Linked DNA regions of Drosophila melanogaster. Changing the gene in region 1 together with any one later gene gives a genetic interaction. Each region holds a gene or a part of one and is shown in the gene's direction. Other genes may lie near its edges.

Evidence for each region.
Region 2: of Rab6 (region 1) and Dref, changing one suppresses a phenotype caused by changing the other (phenotypic suppression), as found in Drosophila melanogaster (one study listed by BioGRID).

What each region holds. Positions count from the first base shown.
Region 1 is NT_033779.5:12,106,547-12,111,041, reverse strand, and holds Rab6 (Rab6), read left to right. Parts: upstream 1-1,925; 5' UTR 1,926-2,242; coding exon 2,243-2,869; 3' UTR 2,870-3,821; downstream 3,822-4,495. Other genes in the region: Phae1 (phaedra 1), read right to left, coding at 587-1,399; ThrRS (Threonyl-tRNA synthetase), read right to left, coding at 4,280-4,495. UniProt on the Drosophila melanogaster protein: Protein transport. Regulator of membrane traffic from the Golgi apparatus towards the endoplasmic reticulum (ER). Mediates membrane trafficking during egg chamber growth and organization, possibly upstream of exocyst component Sec5.
Region 2 is NT_033779.5:9,963,541-9,969,176, reverse strand, and holds Dref (DNA replication-related element factor), read left to right. Parts: upstream 1-1,947; 5' UTR 1,948-2,291; coding exon 2,292-3,417; intron 3,418-3,508; coding exon 3,509-3,801; intron 3,802-3,861; coding exon 3,862-4,249; intron 4,250-4,309; coding exon 4,310-4,632; 3' UTR 4,633-5,030; downstream 5,031-5,636. Other genes in the region: RpL13 (ribosomal protein L13), read right to left, coding at 756-860, 930-1,238, 1,300-1,542.

The sequences.
Region 1 (4,495 bases):
GAGAATATGATAAGAACTTTCAATCAGAGCCCTTGTCTTTCAGATAAGAGCCTATTATAACTTAAGATTATACGATTTTATATATATATATTTCTCTCTTGTTATGATAGACTCAGTCAACAATGAGAATAGATGCAAAAGGGTGTTGAGGGCAATATCTCAAGTTTGTCATTCTGTATTTTCGAGGGGATCCCCGTCCATTGATAAGGAAAATATTATAAATATAATATCTATAAGACCATTGTTAAAAAGGTTAGTTCTGGTAAGAAATGTTTAGATTTTGAAACCATAGTCTCAACATTATTTACTTAACTCACATATTTCACAATGATTCGGTTCGTTATTCTGTTATTGTGCAATGTAAGAAATTGTTATTTACAGCCCGAAAATATGTGAAGCATATAAATCTGTTCGTTGGTTGCTCACCGTGTTCCTCTCTCTTTACGAGATAAGATAAACTTTAAAAAACAGCTCGTTGTTTGATATAGTAGCTGTGATGCGAAGGAAAGTCCCACATTTAAGTGACCGCCACTAGGGACACACATTTGATTGCTTTTATTGAAAAAATAGGGAAAAACTCGACTATTTAGGACACCTGCTGGTTAGCCGATATCCACGATATAAACGACGAGACCTGCACGTAAACCGACGGTGAGTTGGCCTGACCACAAGGTAACTTGCCCCAGGACACGATGCCAATAAGGACATTGCCCTGGACCAGTGGTCCGCCCGAATCCGAGGTGCAAATGCTAACGCCGCCAGTTAGAGGACCAGTGCACAGATTGGTCGAGTGGACATCGCTGCCCTTGGTGCCCAGGGCGCTTTCGCAGGAGCTCAGCGAAATGATAGGCACATTGGTGGCCACCTGCAGGGTCGACGGATAGGAGGCGGTATTCGTGGTGCTAGTGCTGCCCCATCCGTACAGATTGGCGGTGCCAGTGGGCACCACTCCCGAGGATGGTAGCGTCACTGGGGCAACGGCGGCGCTCCAAACGAAGGCGGTGGGCGTGTAGATCATTCCGATGTCATAGGGCACAGTTCCGCCGGTGTACAAGTCATTGATCACGAAGTACGTGATGCTCCGCGTCTGCGTAGTGCTTGCAGTTCCGTCCACCGCGATGCTTCCGGCCACCAAGGTGCTGCCCAGCACCTGGTTACTATTGGTCAGGCAGTGGGCAGCGGTGACTAGCCAGTTGGCATTCAGAATGCTGGCGGCACAGTAATGGGTGCCACCGTACTGCATGGACACCGCATAGGGAGCACTATTCACCGCTGCCGGAGATCCACCCACGACACGCCCCTCGGGTGCGCCGATAGCCACTCCGGATATTCGGCATATGCCCAGTAGGAGAAGAAGCCCACTGGCCAACGACTTTGTTTGCTGTCCGTTCGCTAACATAGTTTTCGCGGAACTGTTTACATCGACCTTTATCGCGGCACGTTTAAATTAATTCGCCATTCCAAAATTTTGCCAGCGCCAGCAGATAAGGCTTTCAATTAAGGACCGTGTGTTCTTCAGATAACCACTTATTATAATTTGAGATTAAGCGACGCCCGAACAGTGACTCTTTGACAGAAGTACGTCAAGTTCCACCGATAGGATGGGCAAATACCTACGCTCGTTTATCTAAAAACAAGCAAATCACTTTAGAGAGCTTTATATTTGAAAATCGCGTTATCACCTGTTAGTATTTCTTACACTTAGTATTCACTTTTTAATATGAAATAAAAAGTTAAGCAATTACCTTGTACTTCATCAGTATTTAAACATTTTAAGCAGGTAAATTTTAGTTAAAATTATTTAATAACGGTAACGAATATCAATCGATTTTTTTTTAAATCATAAAACATCGATTTAGTACAAATATGCGTTTATCGATAGCGTGGCAGAGAAATTGCTTTTGATTGCCACTCTGGTCACACAGCAACTGACTCAGAAGTTAAAGAAGAAGAAGCAGAGACCGTAATTTTTCCACGACTCAACCTAGCGATTTACCAAGCCATTCGAGCCGCAATTGAGTCTTTAGCCAGACGGAAAGCATTTAGAGCGTGTGTAATAGAGTGCGGCAACTTGAAAGCGGTGCATCCCGAGAAATCGCAGTGCGAAAGGGCCCCGAAAACCGCTGGCCCAGCCCCATTATAAACAGTGAGGAGGGGTGGAGATTGGTGAGAGCGGAGCGGAGCGAGAAGAGAGTTCAGCAAACCCGTAATTAAGAAAAAGTAGACACGTACGTTGAGGAAGATGTCATCCGGAGATTTTGGCAATCCGCTGCGGAAGTTCAAGCTCGTCTTCCTCGGCGAGCAGAGTGTGGGCAAGACCTCGCTGATTACGCGCTTCATGTACGACAGCTTCGACAACACGTACCAGGCGACGATCGGAATTGATTTCCTATCGAAGACCATGTACCTGGAGGATCGCACTGTGCGCCTGCAGCTGTGGGATACGGCGGGACAGGAGCGATTCCGCTCGCTGATACCCTCGTACATACGCGACTCCACGGTGGCAGTGGTCGTTTACGATATCACCAACACCAACTCGTTCCACCAGACCTCCAAGTGGATCGATGACGTGCGCACGGAGCGGGGTAGCGACGTCATCATCATGCTGGTGGGCAACAAGACGGATCTCTCCGACAAGCGTCAGGTGTCCACCGAGGAGGGTGAGCGCAAGGCGAAGGAGCTTAACGTGATGTTCATCGAGACAAGCGCCAAGGCCGGCTACAATGTGAAGCAATTGTTCCGACGGGTGGCCGCGGCACTGCCCGGCATGGATTCCACGGAGAACAAGCCCTCCGAGGACATGCAGGAGGTTGTGCTAAAGGACTCACCCAACGAGACAAAGGATCCCGAGGGCGGCTGCGCCTGCTAGAACCGGTTGAGCCGACGATCCAACCATCCTCTCCCCCTTTTTCAACAGCAGGAGCAGATGCAGATGCAGGAGATCGGCCAGCAGCACTGGTGTACACAGGTGTCAGGTGTATGTACTGGCCGGATCTGCGGCGGATTCCTCAACATCTATACACACATACACACTTTACGTTTAAGTTTATTTATAAAGTAACAAATGATAGCAAAGGCAAATAGACTAAACAACAATTAACGAAATCGGCTAACTAATTACTGTTAATTGACGAGCTAATCCCGAGCGCAGGCGAGTGCGAATGCTAACTCATTGACACGAGATCAGGGATCAAGATCAGAGTAATATTTGCGAGTTAGCTACCAGACAAGAATATAGTGTAGTGCATTTCCGATACCCCCTAAACCCTCTAAACGAAAAAAAACCCAAGACCATGTACTTATGTCAGGCCAGGCGGTCCCAGGATCCTCCGACATTCCAGCTCTCGGCATCTCCAGCAGTCGTAGATACCACGCAGCCAGTCTGTGTTCAATGATTCCACCAGCCAGGCATTTTGTTTCCAATTTTAGCCCCCGTTCTGTTCTGTTTGCGGCTTTTGTTTCGCCAGTTTTGGTTAGGATTTCGGTTTTTTTTTTAGCACAGCGAACGCGACTGCTAACTGGAACTGTGGATGGCATAGGACTTGGCCACGTGCATCTTATGAATAAATATACACAAATATAAAATATGTATTTTTATGACTAAAACTGAAACAGATAAGCAGAGCACGAGCAGAGCAAACACTTAACAATATTATTAACGATTTTTGCTTCGATTAGCGAGAGAACTTTGTGCATTTTTTACGCGAAAAGCAAAAGCTTACAAAATTGATAATTGAATAAAAACATAAACTATTGATGCAATTTTTAATAAATCAAATTATGAAAATGAAAAGTATACAAGATACTAGCAATAAATTAATACAAAAAAATAAATTCAAAACATGACTCATACGTTGTGGGTGCACGCACACCTTTCCCAAAAAGTTTTCCGCCAAATGTGGGCCGACTTATCTTATCATTCCAAATCGTTCCTGAATGGACTACAGCGCACCTCTGTGTCGGCATGACTAGTCCTCAATTGCTGACAAATTCCACTGATTCGTCAAGAAACTGGAGTGAAATAGGCGGCTTAAGGTGGATCAGAAAAATACGATTTTTAGTTGGGGAAGCTTAATAATCGTATATTGAATCGAATTGCTTTTATTTGATTGCATGCTCTTCTCTTCTATTTGAAACACCTTAAAATGTGTTTGGATTTGGTTTTTTATTTGTGAATTCCGGTTTCGTAAGCGTAAATACATAGAAAGAACAAAAATGCGTACTTGCTTTGCTATGCAAATGTTAAGTATACTTTTGATAAATAGTTCGAAATAGAGTCTTAGAAGCTGTCCTCGTTGGCGATGAATTCGTCGCGAATCTTTTGCAGCTTTGTGATGAGTTCCGCCACGGAGACCTCGCCGTGCACCTTGTTGTCCCGAGTGCGCACGTTAACGGTATTCGAGGAGCGCTCCTTGTCGCCCACCACCAGAATGAAGTTGAACTGGGCCAACTGAGCATTGCGTATCTTCTTGTTCATCGTGTCGCCGGCATCGCA
Region 2 (5,636 bases), 2.1 Mb from region 1:
TAATATTTGGGTCAACGCCGTAATGTTCACTTATTTTTCATAGTTTTGTGGTTAGTTTCTGAATTTGTGCTACGGAAATCAAAACAAAAATTGTATTTCAGTAAACAAGCTTAACTGAAAACGAGTAAAAAAAAAGATGAAACGCGATAGTGAAGCCCTTCACTCACTCAGCTTATCAATTTTAAACTCAATATTTTCAGATATAGTGAAACGCGCATATGTACATACATATGTACATAGGCATAAATACCTTAAAAGGTATTGCAAATATATTACTGCAGAGATAAAATACAGTTGTTTAGTTTAATCTTTACCCTACACCATTCTAATGAAAAATTCAATATATTGTAATTAACATTTCAACAAAAGATATTTAAAAAAATAAGAAACGTAGCTTCTGCAACCTTTTCGTTTGCTCAAGATGCGTATCCTAAGAAAATCTTCTATATGGCACCACAGATTTAACTTTTTAATAATTTAACCCAAATAAATTAAGAAGCTGGTAAAAATAAGAAAAAATAAAAAAGTAATGGCAAGCAACATACGTTTCTTTTTTTGGATGCAGCAGCTAAAAACAAACGCGCCAGTTTGAATTCAACGCGCCAAAGCTACTTATCGATAGCAACACGGGTTATCGATAAGTCTTACGCCAGACGCGACAATAACAACAATGTGCACAAATATTCACGTTTAAGAAAAACTAAGATTTTATTCTGGTTGATGTTGTAGACAGAACGATCAGGTTAAGATGTGGTTTACTTCTTGGCCTTCTTGGGGTCTCCCTTGGCGGCGTCCTCGCTCTCAGCGGCCTCCTTGGCGCGCTTGGCGCGGATTCCGACCAAACGGGCATCAGTGCGAGCCTGCAAATATAGTTTGGCGGCGAATAAGTATAACGAGCTACCGGCGGATCACGAAACCAAAAAACTTACCTTGCGCAGCGTGGCGAAGGCCTTGAACTTCTTCTCATCCTTGGTCACCTCACGGAACTCGACCACGGCGGGCTGCTCATTTTTGATGGGCAGGACGGGTCCCTTAAGCTGGGTAGCCAGCTTGCACTCCTCCAGAGAGGACTCGCCGGCGCGGATCTTCTTCTCGTTGATGGGGAACAGGATCAACTTGCTGCGGTACTCCTTGAGGCGCTGGATGTTACGCTGGCGGGACTCCAGGGATTTGTTCTTGCGCCTCCTGTCGACGGCAATGCCGATGGTCTTGGCGAAGTTGGCGCCAATGCCGGCACCCTGTAAACAGAGATTTTGTTAGTGGCCAATGGATTCCGATAATGTTTTCGGCTTCACTTACCTTCAGCTCCTCCAGGGTGAAACCACGGCCGGCACGCAGCTTGGTGTGGTAGCGGATGGTGGGGCAGCGAACCACAGGGCGCAGGGCACCGCTGGCTGGGCGGGGGAAGACGGCCTTAGCCTTCTTGACGCGGTTCGCATGCCTGCGGACCTTGCGGGCCGGCTGGTTGAACCAGGTCTTCACATGCCGCTGCCACCACTTGTGGTAGTGCTGATTCGGAATCATATTGTTACCCTTACCCATCTTGGCGGTTTAGATTGGCTGCAACGAGGGCAAAAACACAATAATAACATCAATGTCTCTTTGTAAACTCGTATATATGGGATAACCAAGCTGCAGGCCCACGTGGCTGGCGAATTTCGATTTGTTTAAGCCGTAATTCCGAGCACTTCTTCATGCCTACGGGTGTCAATGATGCCCACTTGTGTCCTCCACACTTGGCACACTCGATGGCTCGATTTGCATTTCGTTTATCTTTTATTTTCATTGAATTTCGTGACGCTCACGAAATTTACACACCTTTTCTTCCCAACAACGAATTAAAAAGGAAATCGCAACCAACTTCACGTCGTAGGCCAAGCGAAAATTTCCCTAGAGAAATTCCCCCGGCCGAGCGAGAAATTTCCCCAGCTATCGATTGGTGATGCAATCAGTGTTAGCGAGAATACTCAACAAATCGCATTTTTTACGACAGTCAGACGTATTGAAATTAAAAAGCGGTGACTCTCATATTTGAGCAGTCTGTAAAAATAATCTCAAATAAATGAGAGTGCATTTGAAGCATTTAGCAACGTTTTATTGCCTTATCGATTGACGGCGTGTCGCGTGGCAACTCTGAACTGTACTTCTGATACAGATAAAAAACTATTGACTATTGAACCGTCTATCTATAATCGAGAAATTGCGCGCTAATACACGCATTGGGCACAGCAATCGTTGTCGAATCTAATTCAAAACAAACAAGAAGATCCCAATCCCCCACAGAAGACAAGATGAGCGAAGGGGTACCAGCGTCGCCCGTGGCCATTGGCGAACTCAAGTACGAGGATGTGTCGCAGCTAAATTTTTCCAAACTGTACTCGCCCAAGATGAAAAGCGTATACTGGCGCTACTTTGGATTCCCCTCGAACGACAATAATGAGGTGATTACCAAACAGAATGTGGTCTGCATTAAGTGTCACAAGGTGCTGACCAACCATGGCAACACCACCAATTTGCGTGCGCATCTCCAGCACCGACACAAGGATCTGTTCAAGGAGCTGTGCCAGGAGCACGACATCCATGTGCCGCCGCGCAAGACGCCGCGTAATGTATCCCATCCACCGCTGTCCAAGCGGAATGTTTCCTCGCGGCGGGTCAAACTGGAGTTCATTAATAACCGGAACCACGATAACGCTTCCGATGATGAACTGGACGAAGCAGCCGTGGCAACTGCGGCCATGCAGGCGGAGGAGGACGCCTCCTCGCAAACCATGCTGTACGAGACCATGGTGCCCTTCACCTACGACGAGGCCGAAAATCTGGTAGAGGAGGAGGAGCGCCTAGTTATGGAACCAAAGTACGGACGCAAACGCAAAGTGGCCACTCCATCGAGTGCCCTGATGCACGGGCGTGTCATCAAGCACGAGGAAGGCGGCTATGCCGCCGTGGCGAACATCGCCAATCTGGCCGAAGCCCTTACGGACATTGTGATTAAGGATTTGCGCAATGTGGATTCTCTGTACGATGCCGGTTTTGGTGAATTCCTGCGTCAAGTCCTAGGCAATTCGGCAGCCATGCCCGAGCCACACAAGATCGACTCTTTGATCAATGAGATGCACGCCTCCAAGTTTCTGGAGATTGGCGAAATCACGCGCGATTTCACCTCCGAGAAGCCCTTCTCTCTCGCCTTTGAGATGTGGGTGAATGTTGAACAGCGGCGCTTCCTTAGCATCTTCCATCACTTTCTGGACGAGGAGACGCACTCAGTTCGCGGTATGCTGTATGCCACCGTGGAGTACAACGACTACATCGTCTTTGACGATCTGCTGACCGACTTCTATTTGGCCAATTGCACACTGGCCATCATAAACTACGACGAGGAAGAGGACCTTTTGCACACCTATCTGCGAGAGAAAAGTGAGTGCATTAGCAAGTCAGAATTATTTACCTTATATAGAATATATATCAAATATTGGACTTCCTAATGAATATGAATCTTTTATTGCAGATATACCCATTTCGCTGTGCTACGTTTCGGTAATTGACAAATGTTTGCGTCGTGTGTTTGAGATCGAAGAGGTGGCCACTTTATTGGAGCAGGTGAAGGACCTAATGCAGCGTCATTCAACGGAGATTGCCTCCAAGGTGTCCGAGGTGCCCATGCCCACGTACAACGAGCACTTCCCCTGGACACTGTACGAAACATTGAAGTTCTTTGCCGAGTCCATATCTTGGTCCGAGGACATGGATCACCTGGTTATATCAGCCAAGACGGTGACGGAGGCCCTGAGTGCTCTGGTGGTAAGCCATCAAGCTAAATGAGACGTTTAAGCAGTTTTCTTATTGTGTGAAATCTTTTAGATTGCTTTGGACACGCTGCGTGGCGAAGACATTCCCTTGTGTAGCATGCTTTCGCCAATCACTTCAAAGATTCTTATCAAGAAGTTGGGCATCGCCGAGCAGGACGATCCCCTAATGATGAATTTGAAGCGGACCATTTCCAGTGTCCTCCAGGCGCACGTTATATCCAATGACAATCTGACCGCTGCTGCATTGTTGGACCCACGCTTCCACCGCCTGACCACCATTGACAACCTAGAGCGAACCGTTCGTATGCTGACCCATAAGTATAACATTAACTTTGGTGGAGTGGGCGAAGGGGAATCCAACGAAGTGGCAGCTACCTCCAGCGTGGTGGCCATTAAGTCAGAACCAAGAGTAGTGGACGGCAGTGCACCAAAGAAGTTGGGTAAGTGCATCGAACTAAATCGATTATCATAAACCATGGACTAAACGAAAATGCCCGTAGGTCTGAAACTGCTGTTTGACAGTAACGAGATACCAAATCCTCCGAAGCGAGATGCGGACAGCAGCGTGGAGTCCGATCTTAAGCGATATCGCAACGAGGTGGTCGTTCAGCTGGATGAGTCGCCCATCGAGTGGTGGCTCAAGATGGGACACATTTATGGAACGCTCCGCGATTTGGCCAGCCTGTACCATAGTGTGCCCGGCGTGGTGACGCTCAGCTTCAAGAAGGCGCTGAGAGACCAAATATACGACTTCAACAAGCGATTCATGCTCACCGGTAGTCACATCGACGCCATCCTCTTTCTTCATCATCACAACAATTAGTCTGCACTGGCGACTACTGTTTCTTATAATGCAAATACTTTTTAATTACTTTTAACGTAATCCGATCTTGTGTATATGAAAATGACTACCAGGGGCGAGGCAAATAGTAATAGCGATTCCGCAGTACTTTTAACCAAAAGACAGCCTTGGGACGTACACGGAACATCTTAAGTTATCGACGTATAAATGTTAAGGGAACATTTTGACATCATATATTCAAATCAAACAGATAATCTAAGAATATTTGTTTAATAAATCCATAACGAAAAAATATCACGCTTATCAAGCTCACTTGTAAATCCCCTTATATCCATTTCAAGAGAACTAATTAAATACTTAACTTAGTTGTACATAATTGATATTTTAATCTTATAAATAAATAAAATGCATCTAACTTTCGTGAATTGTTTTATTGAACTAACTAAAATTAGATATTTTACAATTAATTCAGTATTAAAAAAATTTCTGAACTACGAAACAATTAGTAGTCGGTTTGGAGTTAGCTACTTTATATATTTGACATATTTCTTTAATTTTCAAAATATGTTTTATTTTTTTACTCTGCAGCCCTCGAAATTTCCCTTTTTTAAATCATCGGAAAATTTTCATATTTTTCGTCTGCGACAAACAAAATCTAAATAATCTTCGACATTTGTTTTTTAATTAAGTTAATTTTTTTACTGATAGCTTTTAAACTTTAAAATAAAACAAATAGTAAAAATTTTAAATAATATAAAACCGGGAGGAAGTCTGTATTTTAGTCATTTCGGATTTCGCATTGGCTGGTCACACCAATTAGACGTAGGCACCCGACCCACGAACTGGATTCCTCACAAAAGAAGGGCACGAAAGCCGCGATATTACTGCCAATAGGACTGAAACCAATAGATCGAAGAACTTGCTCTGCCAGCAGGAGATCTCTGAAAATGCGCCTCCAGCGTGGGTGCCACCGCCGTGTCCTGTAATCTGCTGTGAGAGAATTTCTGGCGGAGAAGAGCGGATCG